Linked DNA regions of Drosophila melanogaster. The main gene of each other region encodes a partner of the protein of the gene in region 3 in a complex. Each region holds a gene or a part of one and is shown on either strand. Other genes may lie near its edges.

The links. The genes of interacting proteins can lie anywhere in the genome.
Region 1: Nup75 (region 3) and Nup107 share a complex: the UniProt entries of both Drosophila melanogaster proteins name them as parts of the nuclear pore complex.
Region 2: Nup75 (region 3) and Nup188 share a complex: the UniProt entries of both Drosophila melanogaster proteins name them as parts of the nuclear pore complex.

What each region holds. Positions count from the first base shown.
Region 1 is NT_033779.5:10,732,793-10,739,042, reverse strand, and holds Nup107 (nucleoporin 107kD), read left to right. Parts: upstream 1-2,971; 5' UTR 2,972-3,097; coding exon 3,098-5,270; intron 5,271-5,334; coding exon 5,335-5,699; 3' UTR 5,700-5,750; downstream 5,751-6,250. Other genes in the region: CG12299 (uncharacterized protein), read right to left, coding at 1-1,155; Vha16-5 (vacuolar H[+] ATPase 16kD subunit 5), read left to right, coding at 2,086-2,667; Dpy-30L1 (Dpy-30-like 1), read right to left, coding at 5,821-6,225. UniProt on the Drosophila melanogaster protein: Plays a role in nuclear pore complex (NPC) assembly and maintenance. Required for nuclear import of Mad. Mediates the association between the nuclear pore complex and a subset of active chromatin regions adjacent to lamin-associated domains.
Region 2 is NT_033778.4:12,680,180-12,688,909, forward strand, and holds the start of Nup188 (nucleoporin 188kDa), read right to left. Parts: upstream 6,001-8,730; 5' UTR 5,894-6,000; coding exon 5,868-5,893; intron 5,806-5,867; coding exon 4,568-5,805; intron 4,496-4,567; coding exon 4,386-4,495; intron 4,327-4,385; coding exon 3,362-4,326; intron 3,306-3,361; coding exon 1,235-3,305; intron 1,174-1,234; coding exon 1,019-1,173; intron 962-1,018; coding exon 748-961; intron 688-747; coding exon 1-687. Other genes in the region: CG13148 (uncharacterized protein), read left to right, coding at 6,828-6,900, 7,418-7,601, 7,660-8,515; CG30053 (uncharacterized protein), read right to left, coding at 8,616-8,730. UniProt on the Drosophila melanogaster protein: Component of the nuclear pore complex (NPC), a complex required for the trafficking across the nuclear envelope. Required for proper protein transport into the nucleus.
Region 3 is NT_033778.4:18,162,205-18,168,713, forward strand, and holds Nup75 (nucleoporin 75kD), read right to left. Parts: upstream 4,937-6,509; 5' UTR 4,868-4,936; coding exon 4,841-4,867; intron 4,784-4,840; coding exon 3,621-4,783; intron 3,560-3,620; coding exon 3,214-3,559; intron 3,147-3,213; coding exon 2,956-3,146; intron 2,899-2,955; coding exon 2,751-2,898; intron 2,692-2,750; coding exon 2,560-2,691; 3' UTR 2,490-2,559; downstream 1-2,489. Other genes in the region: Naus (nausicaa), read left to right, coding at 3-124, 648-1,321; MED9 (mediator complex subunit 9), read left to right, coding at 5,113-5,318, 5,454-5,517, 5,569-5,733; CG42518 (uncharacterized protein), read left to right, coding at 5,762-5,934, 6,004-6,088. UniProt on the Drosophila melanogaster protein: Component of the nuclear pore complex (NPC) that seems to be required for NPC assembly and maintenance. Required for nuclear import of phosphorylated Mad via importin msk.

The DNA.
Region 1 (6,250 bases), on a different chromosome or scaffold from region 3:
GTGCTCGTCGAGCAGCGCCTCCGCCTTGAATTCGCGCTCGCACTCCGGACAGATGAACGTCTCCGTGGGCGCGATGTGCGTCTTCTGGTGCAGCAGCAGCGAGCTGTAGTTGATGAATCCCTTGTCGCACTGCACACACTGATGCGGCTTGCGCACCGAATGCGAGCGCATGTGCACCATCAGGCTGCTGGACTGCGTGAAGGCCTTCGGGCAGAGCTCGCACTTGTACGGCTTCTCGCCGCTGTGGATGCGGATGTGCGTGTTCAGGCTGCCGATGTGCGTGAATGTCTTCTGGCAGATGGAGCACTGGAACGGCTTGTTGGTGATGTGCGAGCGCACGTGCTTGGACAGATCGCCGGCGTTGGGAAAGCTCGCCTCGCAGTGCGTGCACTGGAAGCATTTCTGGTTGCCATTCAACGCTGGATCCATCACGGGTGCACCGATGTTGCTCCGCCTTCCGCGCCGCCGCTTGATGGGCGTCGATTGCAGGCCCAATCCCGGGCTAACAGTGGGTGCCGGTGGTAGTAGCTGCTGCAAGGGCGTGACGCTTACGGTCGGCTGCACCATGAATATGGAGGTGGACTCCCGCGGATCTGTCATCTGCAGCTGGAACTCATTGTAGCCCGGACCGGCAACCAGGCCGTGAAGTGGCTGCACTGACTCCTGGCTCTGCTGGGTATTGGAGTTGCTGGTGGTCGGCACCGAGCTGCTTGATGAGCTCGAGTTGCTGGAACTCGAACTGGAGCTGCTGCTGTCGTCGTCGTCATCGTCATCGTCGTCGTCCGACGACGAGGAGCTGTCGGAGCCCGAGGAGGCGCTCCCATCCGACGAGTCGCTGCCATCCTCCGCCAGCTCGCACACCGGCTCGAATATCCAGCTGTAGTCCTCGCTCTCGTCGCCCGGGCTCTCCTGCTCTTGCTGTCCATTGCCCGGCTCATGGGGGTGCAGGGTGTTCATGTGCTGGTACAGCGCCAGCGGATGGACGAAGAACTCCGCACAGCACATGCAGTGGAAGGTGAGATCCGGCGGCTGTGGCTGCTGCGGTTGCTGCTGGGGTGGATTGGGTGCCTGTTGCGGCAGGAGGTGCGTCTGCTGCAGGATTGGCGTGATCGTCAGGGGCAGGTGGTGGTAGCTCTGTTTCAGCTGCACGGCCATCTTGCCAAAAGGCTGTGCAAATCAAACAACAAAAATCACAAGGAACACAAGCGACGAGCGTGTGAACATTTTCTCTATAATAAAAATGCGCGTTTGCGGGGAGAAAAATCAATGCCGTACCTTGGGTGAGATTAGATGCGAAGTGCCGTGGATCAGGGGTTCCGTAGACTACTATTATATCACTGGTGTGTGCTGTTGCTCAGGTTCCGTGCTTTTGTGTTTCTCTCAGGGCTCTCGTCCACATTCGTCCACTGCGTTCCATTTTATGCGCCGCCAGCGAAATGCGAATAACTTGCTTCCTGTTTTCGGTGCTCGCTTGTTTTTGAATTTGGCTGCTCGGTTCCGTGGGTCGCCGGAATCGCGTACCGTCCTCCGACCCGTTGTCTGGTTAGCTGCGACTGCCAGGAGCTGCGACTCGAGCGAATGCAGCGCATCGCCCAATCGCAATTCTGCAGAGCCAAAATCGCAATTGCAAGCGTCTTCGCCGTGCGTACAACAAATAAAAGAAAAATGTTTTATGTTGGGCGGCCCTTGCACGATTGGACGGCAGCATATCGTCATGCAAGCGTTTCGTGCACGTCGCCAGCATGATGACCGATAAACCGCGCAGCTTCAAATTCAAACCGCAATCGATTGTTACATCTTTCGAAGGTTTTAAACATTTAATAATATTTAATTTAATTTCGAGTGCCTAAATCTAAGCAAGTTTTATTATTAGTGTTTAATTTCACTTAACAAGTTGCTAAAATTATTGAATTGAGCCCTAACATCTTAAATAATATTAATATTAAATATAAACTGCTCATCTCGTTCCCCTTGGATTTTCTTTCTTGCCAAACTACAGGCTAGTCAGACTAACAAGTTGGAAAATCCAGAAAGCAAGCAACGTGGATCGTTCCTTTTCAAGTAAATACGAAAAAGGCTACCAAAATGGAAATGGATTACTATCTGCCAGTGTATAACGGATCAAATTCGGTGGACGTGCCGGGGCTGATTGAAAGTCTCAAGCTGAAGGAAACCAGTATATCGCCAATCGTGCTGGATCGCTATCCGCCGTACTCCCCGTTCTATGGCGTGATGGGCGTCGTATTCTCCAGTGTGCTGACCTCCGCTGGAGCGGCCTACGGAACTGCTGTTTCCGGAACTGGAATCGCCGCCACAGCGGTGATGCGTCCCGAGCTGGTGATGAAGTCCATCATTCCGGTGGTCATGGCGGGCATCATTGCCATATACGGTCTGGTGGTATCCGTGCTCCTATCTGGGGAACTAGCGCCTGCTCCCAAATACTCGCTGCCCACCGGCTATGTACACCTGGCCGCTGGACTTTCGGTGGGATTTGCTGGACTGGCTGCCGGATATGCAGTGGGTGAAGTCGGCGAAGTGGGCGTGCGGCACATTGCCCTGCAGCCACGCCTCTTTATCGGCATGATCCTGATCCTTATTTTCGCCGAGGTGCTCGGTCTCTACGGCCTGATCATTGGGATTTATTTGTACACGGTCAACATTAAGTAGCAGAATTTGTTATATCTAAAATATTTAATTCGTTAAGAAACGTTTTTATCGATCTTTAATATTTGAAATGCCTTTTGAATTTCTTTACGCGATTGTGGTACTCATTTCAGGTACGCCGTTGCGGTACGCGATGGAGGTACCCCATACTAATGATTCTACGGAATGCTGGTACCTTATTCTTTAGCAGCTTTGCCGAATTACTAGATATGTAAACAATTTAAATCAATTTGTTTCTTACGAAATTTGCTTGAATTCAGTGAGAATCGCTTATTTACAAGTGTATGTGCAAGGGAGCTTTCTTGCTGTTCCGTCATCTGGTAACACTGAACGCTCCCGGCATTTTTAGCGAATAGCGCGTGAATTTCTGTTTTGATTAAATTAATTGAATTGATGTGCCGTAGCTGATAGCCAAGAAACGCATAGTGCAGCCATGGCCGACAGCCCGTTCCCGAGGAGCAGCCGCAGTGGCCTGCTACGCACGACGCTGAACAGCTCGATGCCGCCGCAAAATCTCTCCCACTCGCTGCTCATCCTCGAGAAGAGCAACGCGGAGCAGAATGAGCTCTCGCTGATGGAGGACACCGGCGATGATCTGGATCGGGGCAAGAGCCGCATGGACGTGCTCTTCCCGCAGTTCTTCGACGTGCTGCAGGCTCAGGGTAACGGGCAGGAGGCATTCGAGGTGATCCAATCGCTGACGCAAGTCTGTCGCGGCGTGGTGGAGCAGCTGGAGCTGGAGATCGATCACGGCATGGGTGGGGAACAGGGCGCGCGGCAACGCGAGTCTATGCTCACCTGGCTGCGACAGGAGATAAACACGTGGCGCCTGCTGCACGCCCTCTTCTACGACCGCATCCTGCTGCAGACGGACAGGCAGGCGGATGATGAGATGCAAGATGGCCCCACGCTCGGCGGCAGCGAGAAGGAGGTCATACAGCAGTTGTACGCCCTCAATGCGACGCTGCGTGAGTACCAGCTGGTGGTGGACTGGCTGGAGGCGTGCTACGACCGGGGGGAGCAACAAAACCCACTCCACGCCCACGATCGTATGATGGCGTGGGAGAACACGCTCTTCCAACTGGAGAACCTGCAGGGCGCCGCCTTTGGCAAGGGCCATAAGATCGTAACGCGTCTGGATCCAGATGCTCCCGTACGCGAGAAACGACCGTTGCACGCCCTCGACGAGGAGGACAACCTGCGCCTGTCCCGCGCCATTTTCGAATTGATACGAGCGGGACGCGTCGACGATGGCCTCAAGTTGTGCAAGCACTTCGGACAGACGTGGCGGGCGGCGATCCTTGAGGGCTGGCGTCTCCACGAGGATCCCAACTTCGAGCAGAATGTCTCGGTGCTGCACGAAAAGCTGCCCATCGAGGGCAATCCCAGGAGGGATATCTGGAAGCGCTGCGCGTGGATGCTGGCCGATTCCAAGAACTATGACGAGTACAGCCGCGCGACGGCGGGTGTCTTCTCCGGCCACTTGGGCTCGCTGAAAACCCTTTTGCACAGCAACTGGCACGATTTGCTCTGGGCCCATCTGAAGGTGCAGATCGACATCCGTGTGGAATCGGAGATACGCGGCTGCTGCCTCAAAAACTACCAACCGATGCCCGATGATTACTGGAACGGCAGGATGACGATGGAGCAGATCTTCGAGGAACTGAACGTTGCCAAGGATGCGTCGGTGCGGGATTTCGCCCAAAGTCAACTGGGCATTATCCAGCGTCATTTAATCCTGGATACTTGCGGCGAGCTGATCCAACACATGGTGCGCTGGGTGGAGAAGGATACCTCCCAACAATCGCCCCATCAATTGCGCTTTATGGCCCACATAGTGCTCTTCCTGCGTCAAATCGGCCGTGTGGAGCAGGAGCGACAGGCGGAGAAGATCGTAGCCGCATATGTGGAGGCATTGATTGCCAGGGGCGAACCGCAGCTAATAGCCTACTATACTGCATCGCTTTCGAATCCGCTGCAGGTTCAGCTCTACTCGCGGTTTCTGGAGCAAGTGGAGCAGAAGCGTCCGCGGGAGCTAGCTGTGGATGCCGCCCTGCAGGCGGGCTTGGATGTGGAACAGATCACACGCGTCACCGTGCAGAATATTCGCCTCGCACATCAGCCACTCGGGGAATTCGGTGAGCCGCAGTCCGGCGAGATCTCTGCAATCGATCAGCGCAAGATCTCAGCATTGGAGTGGCTAATCCATTTGCCGGAGCAGCGCGGTGAGTTGCTGTGGCAGGCCAACGCCATGATACGCACCTATCTGGCCAGCAGCAAGGTGGAGTGCATGCGCCAGACCTTCCGCATGGTGCCGGCCGACATAGTGCAGCAACTAGTCAGCTTGTACGGCTCGGTGGACAACATACCACCGCGTGAGGAGTGCTGCCTGAAGGAGTATCTCTGCTACAAGGCGTATCTGTCTGGCGTCGACAGTTTCGTCGAATGGAACCGCCTGCAGCAGAACAGGCCCAAGAAGCCACAGACTTCACACGCAGCTTCCTCGCAGGACAACTTCACGGAGCGCATGGCGAGTGAGCGCAAGGAGCAGGCTCACCGATCGGAAGTCGTGCGCTGGGAGCACAAGGTTAAGGAGCAGGCCAAGCGTAAGTGGATCGCATACCCATTAATGAGATCTTTTGGCATATAACCCGCATTCTTTCCCTGCAGAAACCATCGAACTCCTGTACAATGTGCTCATGTTCCCGGACAAGGGTTGGCTGGTGGATCCGTTCATCGCCAAGCTGCCCGAGAACGCCGTGCAGCTGAGCTGGGATCATCGCCTACTGCAGATGGAGAAATTGCGCTCCATCTGCATTCCTGAGATCGCCCTGTTTCTGAACGAAGTGATGTTCAAGTCGGGAGACTTTGCGGGTTGCGTGCGCCTGGCAGATGAAATATCCAGCGAGAATCGGCAGTTGTACAAAGTCTATACGAAGCACAAGCTGGCAGAGCTTCTGGCCAAGATCGCGGACGCCTCCCTGGAGCTGCTCAACTCGAAACTGGATCCATGGGGCTATCCTATAACAACTTAGCAATCCTAGTACATTTGTGTGTTTTGCGATTACATTCTAACTTTAAACGTTTATTATTTATTCACTGTTCAATTATACAACTAAGGAGGGGGACAAATGGGAGGTAGGTAGGATGGAGGGCTTAGGAGTTGTTGTCCACGGCGGCGGCGGAGGCGTTGTTCTCGTCGCACCCGTTGCTATGCTTTAGTAGGTAGGAGGCCAGGAACTGTATGGGATCCGTGGGCCGTTCGCGAGCCAGGGCCTGCATTCCGTGGAGCAGAACCGGCGCCACCGTCTGGTCGAGGTACTGTCGCGTGGGCATGTTGTTTGTCTCGCTACTGGGCTTCTTGGCCACCGCCGGCTGCTGTTGCTGCTGCGCCACTGGATTTGTGGACTGGCCAACGGCAATGGCTCCGGATGGAGGAGCTCCCGGCGCAGCGGTCGGGTTTGCTTGCGCATTGCTGCTTGCATTTGGCTCCTTGCCAGCTTCTGCCGGCGGATTTGTTGTGGGCGCTGGTGAGATGGGTGCGTCGGTCTTGGCCTCCATGGCAATGTGTTCCTTTTGTTCAGCA
Region 2 (8,730 bases), 5.5 Mb from region 3:
CAGTTCGTCCTCCAAGAACGCGTCGCCCGCCTGTTGAGCGGGATACAAACGCTTTCGGCCATCCAAGCTCGTCGTCATGGCTGCACCTTGAGCTGCCGCAATGGGACTCAGATCGCTGCTCATGTCAAAGTTTTGCGGTGGAGGAGTTCGCTGCTGTTGCTGCAGATGCAGTCTGCGTACGACATTAACTCGCAGTTCGTTATTTGTGTTGCTGCGGCGCACAATTTCTGAGCTGCGGGAAGAACTGCTTGAACTCCTCACTGGGTCCACGCACTTCAGCTTACAGAGCCCGTGTTTTCGTCGTAGCCAGGGACTACGGTTCTCTTTGTAGTCTAATATCACCTTGCGGCGCACGAACTCGTTGAAGATTAACAACTCGTTGCTGATGTCCCGACGCACGATTTGCTTCCAGAGCGTTTCGAGGTTCGGTGAGCGAATTATACAGATGGCTTGCGAAGCGACCAGCATGAGCAGATGCTCCAATGCAAGCAAACAAAGCTGGCCGTCCATGTTGGAGAGCAGCTCACTGGCTGGACAGGTTCCGGTTGAAATCGAGACATTGGACAGAGGCTTGGAGAAGGTGCGGTTGGTTTGGTTGCCTACACAAACTTCTGGATCATCGTTGTCCCCGGAATGCTCAACGTTGGGCAGTGAGTTTAATGGCACCTCACTGAAGCCATGATTTTGCTGATGTTTTGAAAATAATTAGAACAGAATGGACACACTTATAATGCCACATATACATACCATATTCAAGGCCTTTACGTATATGTTTACCAAGTTGAGGACGATTCCAAATGTGAGCGTTAAGTTCTCTTCGTTCAACTTAGGTGCACCAAACTTAACGTCTAGTAAGATTGAGTGTTTGGAGGGCTCATATGCACTGCAGCACAGTAGTTCCATTAAATCCGGACTAAATCTAAGCAAGGCTTTAACGCAAGAAATTATTATATCCGTGAGGCTGTTATAAAATGGAAATATTTAGTCTAGTATAACAACATTATTCAAGTTAACTTACTCATTGCAGGCGGAGATAAGTTCATCGTCAACGATTAGAGCCTCTGTGCTGCGCAGAATTTCTAGCTGGGAGCGTCGACCAGCCAGAAGACACTTTAAGTTTTTTTGCTGGTGAAACAAAGATGAGGTGTGGCACAGCAAACTCTGAACTGCACGCTGTGGATTTCAGTTAAGCGATTAAAATATTATTTAGTTGAACAACTAAAACAGAACCCACCATTAGGTTAGCAAGCGACAGATCGCTGTCTTGCTTCCACTCTTTGTGGTGCTCCGTCAAACTGGCGACTAAGTTAACAGCAGCCTTGATTAAGTACATGGCTGACGGTTCCAAGGATTGTTTGCTCAATAACAATGCATCCTCCAGGAAAACAGCATGAATGCCCACAAATTGAAAAGCATCTTCAAGAAAGCACTTCTTGTGCTTCTCGTAAATGATGGTAACAAGCTCAATACCTCTGGCGTATACAGGCCACCACTGCTCTACGGTCCAACCTTCTGCATCCGCAGCCGTCGTCTTAGTAAACTCGTGTTTTGACTGCAAAAGTTCTCTGGGAGGCAACAGTTTCAGCCACAAGTATTCTCCCACATCGCAATGCAGAAACTCAACTGAACAGTGGCCCTTGGCAAATACAATGAGCACATCCAGCAGCTGCACACTTAGAACTTGTTTGCTAAACAATGGAAGGGTTCTAGACACACAGCGCACGAGCCGTTGAAACAAACGCACCGACACAAATGGCAGATCCCAGTTTCCGGGACCGTCGTTGTGGAATATGGTAGCGACAGCCTTTAGCAAATTCAGGCAGAGAATAAGTGAGTTGGTGGATGTCTTGCTGTCTGAACTGTCCGAATTATTGAGGCCCTGCGATTTCTCCAGGCTCACCGAGTTCTCCATGTGCTGCAGTTCGCTGCAAATGATGCCTACGACTGAGTTGAGAAAACGCAAGGCTATGGACGAGTCCCTGATTAGCAGGTCTGTGTATAGATGTGTGCACTTGGTCACAATGGCCAGGCATGCCTCTTTGGCCCTTACGTGCTGATCCTCATAGCACGCACAGATGCGGTTCATCAGTTGCAACAGTAGGTCCATTAGTGTCTGTTCCTCCTCTAAACTGTCTGTGTACGCGTGCTTAAATTCCAGTAAGATGAATACATACAGTTCAGCCAGTATGATGAACGGCCGCATGTCCTCCAAATAATTTGAGCGATCAACCAGGACAACCAGACACTTCTGCGCCATTAGCTTAAACTGCGACTCGGGTATGGTCACGAACTTTGGCTGTTTCTTTAGCAAAATTACAATAAGATCCTTAAAAGCCTGCAGGCAACAGATCCAGTCGGGCAAATGGTCGGAAGAACTCAAATTTTTTACAGCCGGAACCTTGGGCATGTTAAAGACGTAATTAAGCCAAGGTCCAAAGTTCTTCTGTTCAAAGAACTTATTCATGACGTCAAGCAAAGCGGCATTGTTTCCATTTCCCGTATAGACTTCAATGGATATAATATTTAGAAGCTGAGTGTAGATTCGTAAATTTGGCTGTAGCTCGGAAAAGAGCGGCGAACAGAGTTTTTTCCAAAACTGTTTATCCTTCACTAGATCATCCACTAGCATTTGCAGATTATGTTTCCACATTGAGTGGAAGATGGTCATGATCTTAGCGGGCAAGGCCTGTTGAATGGTTAATGGATCCACTTGAAGGGCGTCCAGAAAGTCTCTCATATAAGTGACAATACTCTCGCCAATATTGGGAACACAATCCTTACTGAAAAATGACCGGGAACGTTTATCAAGGGCATAGTTAACCTTGAAAAATGCCTCGGTAACACCCGGTTGCTTGGCAATGCATGCGTCCACCAGCTCAAGGATGGCTATCTTTATGGAATCACTTTCTAGCTCATCAGGCAACTTCTGCATAAACGTCAATCGGATTTGATCAGCCTCCATGTCCAGACAGGCCAAGAGAGACATATTGAACTGGAGAGCGATTCTTTTCAGCAGGCGGCAAGACAGAATCGGTAGCCATCTATCAAATATGTTGCTCATGTAACTGCATACTGTAGGTATGATCCGCAGAGTATCACGCTGTTTGGGTTGTGTGTATATCAACGCCTCCAGCGGGGAAAGGGTCTCACTGTTTCCATATACCTCTTCTTTAAGGCGCAGTAACTGCATCAGGATACGCATGGATAGACGGACTAACATCATTAAGCCGTGAGGTTGCTGCTGCATCCAATTTGTCTCTAGCTCCATGGTGTACTGGACATAAGCATTGCCCACACCAACAAATCTAAAATATACATTTTATTTAAATTTATTCTTGGTTGGAGTTACGGTAGCTCTTACCTCAAAAGAATCAGACCATTTTCCAAATTTAGAAGGGAATAGACGCACACCTTTACCAAAAGTTCGCGTTGCTTGCAATTAGATTCTTTAGCAGTGTTAAACAAGTCCAGGATGTCGCATATAAAGCTAAGAATCTCGAAGTAGATCTTGTTTCTCTCCACTTGAGAGCTAAAGTGCCAGGTGTGCAAGTGCGGGAAAACATCCTTTAACAGGAATATAAGGCCGGGAATCTCCATCTGGATTTGGCGATTCCGTTTCAGGTTGGAGTACGCTCGCAGGAACCCAATGTATGAAAGCAAGAATTCGTAGCGCTCCCTTTTCTTCTCCACATTATCAATGACGGAGCCTAAAAAGCGCGACTCAAAGCCCACTCCATTGGCATTGGCATACATCTTGAAGTCGTAGTGAGATCCCGGGCTTACTGTTGGCAAGATGTGTAGGTTGCTTATCCGCGAAAAGATTTCCTCGTCTACCAACGGCAGCAGCGCAGTGCAAACATTGAGACAGCTAGACAAAAGTCCAACCGGTGGGTATTGAACGCTTTTGAACGTGTGCAGCAGATCAACGCACATCTCGGTAGGATGCACCATTTCGGCGCTGATGCCGGATATCGATTGACTGAGCTTAACGGCACTTTCCAAAAATCTTAAACCAGCTTCTACATTGCGTATGCGTTCGCTCGATTCAAAGTCACCATGCAGGTGACCCGTCTCGCGTAGCAGGCAGTTAATTTCGTGGTGCAGCGCGTCAAAGTAGTTTACCGGGAAACGAAAGTGCATAAAGCAGCCGGACGGATGTTGGATGGCTGTGCAACTAGTTCCTGCGGGTATGGTAAAATCAATTTGCTGAAATGGTTGCACGCTGGCCAGGAGCTCGAATTCATTTGTGTCCACTTCTCTGAGTTTGTGCTGACTTTCGTCGTAACGAAGAGCCAATATGGGCAAAGCCTCTAGTTGGCTCTTGACCTGCAAGATTGTTAAAATAATTTTAACTGATGCCTTTGAGTGTACAAGTATTGGCTTACATAGTTGCCTTGTCCCGCTTTTGTCAGTGACAGTGCCAGTTTGGACAGATGTGTTAATTCTAGAGGGAAGTTCTCTAAAAGAGTTTTGTACAGCGAACACGGACCATCATCTAGATAAATGTAAAGTTGTTCGTTCTAAACTAATTTTTTCGGTTAAGCTCTTTTGATTATATGATACTGACCTTCCCGACTGCAAAAGTCTTTAGCTAAGTGTGGCCATGAGACAAGTTCGCAGAGCAATTCGTAAATGCCCTCATACCGAGCGCAGCTGCCATCGCCGTCGAAGAGGTCGCACAGATATCCAACCTGGTTGTATATGGTTCTTCGCACAATCCGTGACAGCATAGAGTCATCGGCGTACATAGAATGTCTGGCAATTAGGTGCAGTTGGACAAAACACTTAAGATCCACGGCTCGCTTGCCCAGCTGCCGACAGCGGAGCAAGCTGGAGGCATCGTCGGCATCGTTGGTGCCTCGCAAGCGAAGCAGCATCCACGCTAGGAGCAAAGGGCCATGCTCTGGTCTGTGGTACATGCTGGCAATATCAACCTGCAGATCCTCTATAAGCTTTTCAATTAGATCGGAATGCTTCTCGGGCTTCTCAAAGTCGAGGCACTTTAAAACTAACATTAGCTCTGAGTAAGAAAGGCTTCGAATAATCTCCTGATGGTAAGGTTGGCTGTCATCCAGATAACTTTGCATCTTTCCAAAGGAGTGTTGCTTGCAGGCGGCAAATATTCTCTTTATCTGCTCCAACCCCATGGGCAGGTGTTCCGCTAGCACCAGAAGGATGTGCAGCACCTCGTTGATCTCACGAGCATTTCGCTCCGACCAGGCAACTAAGCGTTCCGCAGAGTGGAAGCATTCTCCCGCCATTAGCTTTCTGGGTGGGACTTCGCAAATAAGGCTCTCCAGTTGGTCTAGGTATGAATCTCTAAGGCGGGGGATGGTTATCTTTTCGACCACGGCGCGATACTCCCGGTGATAGGGATGATTCGGTACCTGGTGAAAGACGATAAGATTCTTAACAATCTTGAGGACAACCATGCGTTCCAGGGAGTAGTAATGCCGTATGTCTTCGTGCAGTTTGGCCATATTCGTTTCGGTAGAGATTAGTTGGGTAAGGAGACTCGCCGATCCACGGTACTCCTGCGTAAGGTAGTAGCAAAGGATTTCCCAGCACTGGGCGGATTCTAGATCCAACAGATCCTGCAGTCGTTCGGTGAAGGGCAGCAGCTTTTCCTGCTTTTTCTCTTTGAGCAACGTGCCCAGCTCGAGGCTGGAGGCATTCTTGGGCTTAAATTGGAGCACTCCAGCCTGCAATTCAGAAGCCACGTTCATCAGCTCCTCACGTACAGTATCCTGCGGCGTCTCATAGTGGATTCCTGAGACCATCGGCCACAGGCGCTTCCAATCGGTGCTACATGGCAAATCGAAGGATTTTATTTAGTCATTCAATATTGTCGCACTGCCGATACTCACATCACGCTCTTTTCCACCGCAGGCATTGTCTAGGCTCTGTCTCTTAACAACTACAATAAAAAATTATTTAATAACAAATGTATTCTGTTCCACGCGCAAATTCGCGGCGTTGGAGTTGCCACCTAGCACAATAAAATGCCGGGACAATCAGCTGGTAACACCGAAGGTGTATCGATAAAACGATAGTTCTTGTTTTAAAAAGCCAGTTAGAAAATTGTGATACAGTACTTTATACATTTTCTTTAGCTTACTAAATCTTACTTAAATCAAGGTATGACATCTTAGATCTGATGATCGCTTATAGATTTATACAAATAAAATATACATGGAAAGCACGTGTGCGCCCCATTATTTATCTATTATTGTAGCATTACAGTTAAATTGGTATATATTTCACGCGAATAGGTTTAGAAACCTATTTTATAGGTTTCAAATATAGACGTTCGCATGTGGCCCTTCAATCATAACTTGACACATGCATTTAGCATTCAGATCTTGATATTTCCCAAATATTTCATAAATAGCCTTCCAATCCAGCCGGACTAGAACTATTTAGGTTAGACTTTCCAATCACATAAAGCCATTCCAGTGAGGCTGTGGCTGCGGCTAACAGACCTGCGAAGTCAGAGTGCAAAGTGCGCAGATGCTGCACTCCGGCGCCCACTGCACCGCCCAGCCACCCAACCACGCCATTCTAGAGGCCCATTTCTTGGAAACTAATACCACTACTCCTCGGCTAGCCGCAGCCTCCCATCTTTTCCAGATCTAAGAGCGAGCGAGAGAGGAGCGGAGAAGGCGCGAGAGAGTAGGCGCACTCGAAGTTCACGTTCACGGCGCCTGGAAGCTGCAGCCCGAAAATTGTCCTGTTAGTACGAGAAAACTATTGACAGGCGAAAGGTCTAAAATTGCTCATATTCTGGCAGAAAAGGCAGATTGGACTTCAAAAGTCTGATAGCCGCAATGGCTCAAGTTCAGCTCAACGCAGGAAATGGGCAAGCCCCTAGCAACGGAAATAATGTCGAGGATAATGAACGTAAGTCTGCCGATTGGCAATTGTGAAATCATAATAGAAAATTGAGTGATTGCCCGGAAAGTGCACAAGTGTTGGTCTGCACAGTCCTAGTGGAAGGACATATGTGCATACCTACGCACATAGTGTGTGTCATGTATCAGGATATATGTAGGTATATATGTATGTATCATAAAGGTGTATGTCAGCAGCAGCTAGCATCTTTGACATAGCTAGGATGCTTTTTGGCCTGGCGTTGGGTGATAACTTAAACGGGAGAGCGAGCATGAGAGCAGGATAACAAAGAGAGAGAAATGTCTGAAAGGATGCTGCGAGAGCGCCAGAGATGCCACTGCTGCCCAAAAGCAACAAGTTTTTGAACTTAAGCTAAATCAGATAAGGCTAGAACTACCTCGATTTCGTTAGTTAATTTCGTAGTGTATAAAGGGGTATCAAATATAATTATTATAATCTGTAAGCTTTTATATTATTCAAAACAAGGACAATAATTAAAGGTAACTTATTTCTTTTATTTCCATAGCCTATCAAATAAGTGACGATGATTTGGATGACCTGGATGATGATTGCTTGCTCGAGGAGGCAGATACCTCAGGGGCAGGCAATAATGTGGGACGTGGTCCTTACGAGCGTGCTTGGACCACAGAGGCCACCAGGGCATTGATTCACATACGCGGTCCCATGGAGGGTAGCTTTACAGAGGGCAGGTGAGCAAGGTTTTTATTCCACCGTAAAGACATCTTTGTAAAAGTAACTCCCTTACAGACAAAAACGGACTGCTCTTTGGCTGCACTGCACCCGGCAACTACAGCGACTGGGATTTCGCTACTCCGCCGCAAAGGTGCAGAAGAAGTGGCATAACATCCTCATCACCTACAACAAGAATCTGAACAAAAAATACGTATCCGGCTATGTGCACTGGGAGTTCTTCGAGGAGATGTTCAAGTATCTGCAGGGCAAGAAGGCTGACTTTGATATGCAGTTGCCACAACAGACTTCAAATGCGCCACAAGCTCCACATTCGGCTAATGGGCAAAACCCGAATCCGGGTATTCCCCAGCAACCTTTACAGCTTCAACCTACTCCGGTGAGCCTAAAGCCGGGAACACCCCAAATGCAGGTGCAACTTCCACCCCAGACTGCGGCCAAGGACAGCCAGCCGTATATTACACCTGTGGATCAGGTCCTGCTGCAGGCCCAGATGAATCTGGACAGCAAGTCCAACGATGAGTTCGATGAGGATAGCAACAGCATGTCGGAGGTAGTCCGTCAACCCAAGATGGAGTACGATGGCGATCAAGTTGCGGAGGCTGAACGTACAAACGATAGCAGCCAACATCTGGAAGTTAATGGCAAGCTCTACGATCTGGCACGACCCATGGGCTCGCACCAAGCTTCTGGCATCCCCGATGACATCTGGTGGAAGGACTACTTTGAAAGAAAACTGGAAGTGGAGCGGGAGAAGATAGAGCTACAACGGAGTTTGCAGCGCGAACAGGTGCAGATCCAAAAAATGTCACTGGTGCAGCAGGAGCGGATTGAGCGCATGAAGATCGATGCCATCAACAGCCTGACGGGCACGCTGCAAAAGTTGGTGGAGGCCAAGTGCCGCCGGGCCTAAGATGAATCTGTTCCCTCCCAGTAAATTTCGATAACTTTAGGCTTCGATTCGTCTGTATCTAGTTGGGTGTGTAAATACAATTTCGGCTAACTAAAACACTCTACGGCTGCCAGTCTATCTCGAAAATGCTAGCCAGGGAGGTCAGCTTTCCGTGGGGTTTCTCCAGACCATAACTTAGGCTCCAGATATCCGTGGTAAAGATCAGACCTTCTCCT
Region 3 (6,509 bases):
AGGGTCAAGGAGCTGGAGCAGGAACTCAACGCCCTACGGAGCGAGCACGAGGCTCTGAAAAAGCAGCAGCAACTGGGTGGCAGCGGCTCATCCGTGGCCGCCGCCAAGGCGCGACAGTTCAGCGGTGAGTTAGCCAGACAAGGCAATTCCACCTGGAAACTGGCTGTTGTAATTATACATATGGTTGCCCTCCTTATAATTTTCTATATACAAACTTTAACTCTATATATATATATTACTTTTTTTTCGAACTCCTCTTGAAGCCGAAATCTTTTGTTAGAAAAAATGTTACGCAATTGCAAGGTGATTTGTTTTTTGTTTTGTGATGTTCCTCGTGCACCTCACGTTGCACCAACCCAAAGATCACGCATTCGCACGTCCACCCCGCACGCTCGCACCCCAGCGATTGGAGCACCCTGACAAAAGCCAGAACGTAGCCAATTGACACCAGTGGCGTCTGTAGACTTTTCACGACCATGCCAAAGCATTTCCACACAAGCCAGGCCTTCCCAGAACTCATCTGCAATGGCTTTGCAGCTCTATATGGGCTTCTGGTTAGGCCAATCCGCCTCGGAGATCCGAAAATCTAGTGTTTTACGGAGCTGTCATAAGCCGAATGCTAATCCCATTTCTCTGCGCTTTTACAGACGACGCCTGTGCCACGCCCCCCATGGTGAACATCGCCAAGATCGTGCAGCCAACAGCCACGGTTAGCAGCATGCCGGTCTCGGGACCACAGACCGGCATCGCCCGCTCCATTGCGCCGGGCCAGAACATCCGGAGCGCTGGAATCGCAACGGCGCCCACGGGCACGGCCACAGCAGCAATAGCACCACTAACTGCCGTGCTCAACCACACTACCACCATCACAACCACCACGAATAACACCACCACCAGCAGCAACAGCAACTCGAGCGGCAGCATTGGAGTAGCAGCAACAGCTGCAGCAGTAGCTGCATCAGTTGAGACGGCTGCTACGGTCACCGTGCCCATGGTGGCGCCACCCTCACCCTCTCCGGCAAAGATGCAGCCGACGGCCACCATCCAGCGGGCGCCCGGCGGCAAGTATGCCGCACTGGCTGCGGCAGCTGCCCTCGACCAGACAACAACACCGCATCCTCATCCCGTTCCCATTGCCGTGCCGCCGGTTACGGTGCCGCCAGCGGGCGCTCGCGGAGCACCGCCCCCCATACCAACCAAGCCGATCGTGCCACCCAAGCGGGAGCCATCGCTCTCCCGGCTGGGCTCGATAACGGGCAGCAGTGCCATAGCGGCTGCCACCGCAGCCACCACGGCCGCGGGCACGGCGAAGCAGAATTAGACACCTACACTCAGACTTACATTAATAACCGATATTGGGCGTAGCGATAAGCGAAATACTCAAGCGGCGTAGTCCCTCGGTGACCGCGCTGGGCAACAGGATCCTCCATCCCGAACTGACAACTTTCATGTTCTCTTGTCTTTAAAATGTTAAAATTTTATGGTCGTACATGTCTTCATTTTTTTTTTGTTTATTGTGATTATTCAGTTTAGATTGTAGCTTACAAAAGATTTCAATTTAAAAGTCTCTTTTATATATACTTTGATATTTACTCATTTATACAATCGACTTCATTGTCAGTTCGAGATTGGAATCCTAAAAAGTAATCTAAAATCTTCTTAAAAGTGAAAAGGATGCGATTATTTGAGTATTTTCTGTTGCCTAGCGTGATTTGGCATACAAAACGTTTAGGAGAGAAGTTTGTTAAGAATTAGAATGATAGTATACAGTGCGACTCCCCCCCCAGGCGGCCTATCGTCTAAGTTTGGTTTAGTTTAGTTATTGTTTTTTACCAAGCGAACGATACATTTTACAATGCCGTTGGCGGTCCGCGGGCCAAGCCAAGAGACAAGCGACTTTAAATGTAATTCCGTACGTAGTAACCGAACATTTGTACAAGGCCGTGCGATTCTCATAACAAGTAACAGCCACAATATATGATAATTATATACATACCCCACAGATATATAATAGATTATATATATATATATATCCACGCATATGCATCAAACTATGTGTACTACCCTTGTACTCTGGGCGTTGTTTAATAGTTCTTAGGTGCGTCGCATACGTGTGTAATCAACTTCCTCCATGTGCAGCTAACATACTGAATTATTTCGTAGTGTTTGATTTATATATTAAGTTCTAAGTTCGGCCTAAGCACCTTTGTTTGCCCGCCTAACCTATAACCGAGAAGTGTATCCTATAGATTTACCCACGCCGTTCAAACTAGCATAGTTGACCGGGACGGACATCGTTCGACGGGAACACTTATTTTACAAATGCGTACTGTGAACATCCCTCCAGCCCCCCAGCAGCTTGGATTACCTTTTTAGTCAAAGGGCAGCAGCCAGTCAAGTAGTGTTGTTGGTACAATAAATACATAGCAAAGAGGCACAAGATATAAACAAAATGCGTATGAATAACAAGTTAGCAATGCAAGCGCGATCTATAACAAATTACGATGTATTGGAAAAGCGAAAAATACAAAATAAATTACATTAAAAATGCATTCAAAATCACACCACGGGCAAAGTGTTCTCAATGATCAATGCTCGGGCCAAATTGCGTGCGCAGGCCAGGCGCAGGAGGTTCATGATTTCGTCAACGTTCTCCACCCGATAGTCCTTGAACACGGTTTCTGTGTGGTGCTGCGAAGGAATAGCCCAATTATTAGACATCAATAAAACGCAAGCAACGCTAGACATACTTTTCCATATTTGGACACATCGCGTTCGATGATGGGCACCAGATCGGTTTCAATGTGATGCAGAATGGCCACCGTTTCCTTGGCGAAGATCTTCGGATCTTTGGACTCTAGCAGTGGCATGGAATCGATGAGCAACGATGGCCAAAAGCTAATGGAAGAATATATGTTACTTTTAAATGTGTTCGTAGTAAACCCAATAACTTACTAGTCTGGCGTAATTTTGGATTCCAAAAGATTCACCAGCAGCTCGGAGGCAGAAAGAAAATCACGGGTACGGTAGAACTCATAGAACTCAAAGTACTTGGAGAGAAACACCAAGCGCGGTGAGGCAAACATTCGGCCACCGACATTGGCAATGGTGTCCGGGCAAAGCATGCAGCCAGTTTTCGAGTAATGCTATGCCACAGATCAATATACAAATCAAATTGAATGAAATACTTATGCAAAAATAGTTTATATTTACCTTTAAAATAAAGTCAGCTACCGCCGTAACCAGCAGCACATCCTTGGAGCGAATGGCCCATTCCAGGGCGTTTCCATAACGCTCGTTATCGTAGGATCGCTTTGAAAGCACCTTGCAGATCTCCCGTTCTACGCTTATGAGCCCGCGCTGCCTGGCCAGGTTAATAAGCTTGGTGGCTTGCCGCTCGCTGCGCAAAGTGATTCGGGGCAAAAGCAGCTCGATAGCCGCCTGACCCTCCTGCTTGCAACAGTCCAGATAGTCGATGCCCAGTTGCCACATATTGTGGGACGTCATCAGATAGCTGCCGTACTCATAGATCATTGAGTGACGCAGGGCCGGAAGATCGCTGTGGGTGCATAAAATATATAGCATATTGATTGAACATAACTTCTGACAAAAAAACTCACATGTTGTTCTGATCGAAATAGCTCTTCAGCTGACCACAATGATGGATAAGATCAATCAAATGCGTTGAGAACCAGTGTGTGTCGTTAAGTTTTTGAGCATCGTATATAAATAGTCTAAGATCGTGATCCATAAGCTGAGAAACCATGCGGTTCATGCTGCACTGCTCTCTTTCCGGCCGGAGAAGACACCATCGGTTTAGCCATTTGGCTGCCGCTATTTTCAGCTCAAAGGGTTTGCAGGTGGGCTTGGTAAAGAGCAGGTATCCTGGCAGGTATTCATAGAAATCCTGGGACTCTTTGATGCCAGCATCCCACTGCTCGCTGTCGCCGGCGACCAGACGAATCAACTGCTCCAGCTCCGGCTCCGTGGCAAATAAGCCGGACTGAATCTTGCGTTCCGTATCCACGTGCCAGAACTCCCACTGCGAGTGAAACTTCTGCAGGGCATAGCCCTCTTGATACACTGGCATGGACTTCAGGATCTGTTCGGCCGCCTTGAAGCTCGTTTGTCCAGCTTTGCGATTCTGCGAGAGAACTGCTCTCGTAACATCTATTTCGCCCAGCATAATGAGTGATTTGACAATGCTCCAATAGTCATCAGATTCGCTGGCCTCCTCTCCCATGAGCAGTAGATCCGTGGCTCTGTCCTCTGCGTGCGGCGAGTGGAAACGCGCCCAGTCGAGCAGCTGCGGCACCACCAGCTGATTGCTCTGAATGTACAGAATCTCGAAGAGATGCCACAGGCATTCTGCCGCATAGAACACAACGATGGCATCACATAAGCGTTGCAGGCGCGCCTCATCTGTCTGAACCTCCGGCGATTTTTTTGCCTGCTCCAGCTTCTCCAGGCATGAGCGCACAATGCTCCTGTATGCCCGGGATATATTCACATACTCGGCACGTGTGGCCCGCGAACCCAACTGTTGCAGCGTGGCGAACGTGGCATTCGCCTCGGCGAGTACGCTGCGGAGAACGGGTTCGTCGAACAGCGTCGACTCCTGCGCCATGTAGATGAGCACCGGAACCTGTCCAGCATTCTCTGTGGGCTCATCCCGCGAACTGTGCGTCACATGCCGGTAGGCGCTGAGTGCGATTCGTGAGCCCGGCACAAAGACGCCAGTGAGTGTATTGCCACAGCGTGTGGCTAGGTCATCGCCAAGCTCCTAGATAGATTAAACGAGGTTTAATCTATTGAGTTTTTTATTTGTGCAGCTACTTACGAAGGCGAAAACACCGCTGTCGCTCATGTTGGCTTTATGTTTTTCTTCTTTATAAATTCTAAACGATTCGTTGCTTGTTATCGATAAGCAGAGGCGGCATTTGCCTGGCTCTATCGGTCTATCGTACTTCGATAGCAGGTTGTGCATCTACTACTTTTCCCTTTAGTATATTAATCGAATTAAGAGAATGTGAGGGCATTACTTTGGTATTATTACGTGTTGTCGGTAAGGTCCTATTGATTCTGACGCTGGAAATTCGATTCGTGTTTTTTATGATGGATTTGTCGCCAAACAATCAGATCGAGGACAGAAAACCCATCCTAACCGCCGACGGCCTGGTTCAGACTTCGAACTCCCCCTTCGAGCCGACCATATCGCAGGAGACGCAAACATCCAACGGAATCGGCGGCCAGTGCCATCTGACGGTTGACCAGTTGGACATTGAGATTCTGCCGATAATCTACGACATTGTGCGCTGGTGAGTGGTCATCGCGGATGCGGATTCCGGGTGTCATTGCCCCTGCACGGACAATGCCGAAAATCGGCGGATTTTAGCAACAAGTGCGCAATTAATGCCGCACCTTATATAACCTGGCGTCTTTGTGTCTTTCAGCGTGGAAAAGGATCCTCTGGAGAACGCCGTTAAGCTGCGCGAGTCCCAGGATTGCAACCACAAGGTGAGTCCTTGGTTCGTCATAAGTTGCCACCGCTATATACTTGATTTGTAGATCTTTGAACTTCAAAAACGCTTCGAATCGGCACGCGAGCAAATCCGCCAGCTCCCCGGGATCGATTTCAATAAGGAGGAGCAGCAACAGAGACTGGAACTACTGCGAAATCAGCTGAAGCTTAAGCAGCAGCTAATTCGCAAATACAAGGACACAGAGTTCTAGGCGGCAGCAAAATAAAAAAAAGGGCAAGATGGTGCTGCGACTGCTAATGCGCTACCTGGCCAACAACGAGCAGCTCATCCAGCGCATGGCGGAGAGCTATCCCATGAGACGCGCTGCCCAGTTGGTCGTTTCCCTGATGTACCGCACAAAAGACTTGGCCCGGGAGCAGGGACTGCACGAGATGACGCCAGAGCGTTTCAAGTGAGTGAAAGAATCGCCAGAATCATCTGGCTGAATCCGCCAATCTGACATGCATTTTCCAAATTGTAGATCCTTCGTTAACATGTTTAAGAACAACGTGCGCCAAGAGCTGGAGGGAGTGAAGAAGGAGCTTAATAGCAAGAAAAAGAACTAGGGTTCAGTAATTAACTTGTTTAACTACAATTGTATATACGCGGCAAGATAAATTTTAGTAAACACAGATGAATAAACATTGAAGCCAGAACATTATCTTCGGTGAATGAACCTTATTTTTGTAGAATAGGAAATTGCTTTTATTAAGGTAATTAGGAAACAAAGAAATCCTTATTCATTGCCATTTTATCTTAACACTTAAAAACAAAAGAGAACTTCAGATTGTCATTCTGAAACTATCGTTTTACAAAAAAATCAAATAATAACCTAATGTCTGCATTTACAACGCTTTCAACGTAATTTGCGTCAGCAAATTTGTTTTCATTTTCAGTTTGCATAGACATTAAACTCATCTTAAACTATAAGATTTTAATTTAAGATTCCAATTTATAAAGTCGTGTCTATTTAAGTTTATCGAGAGA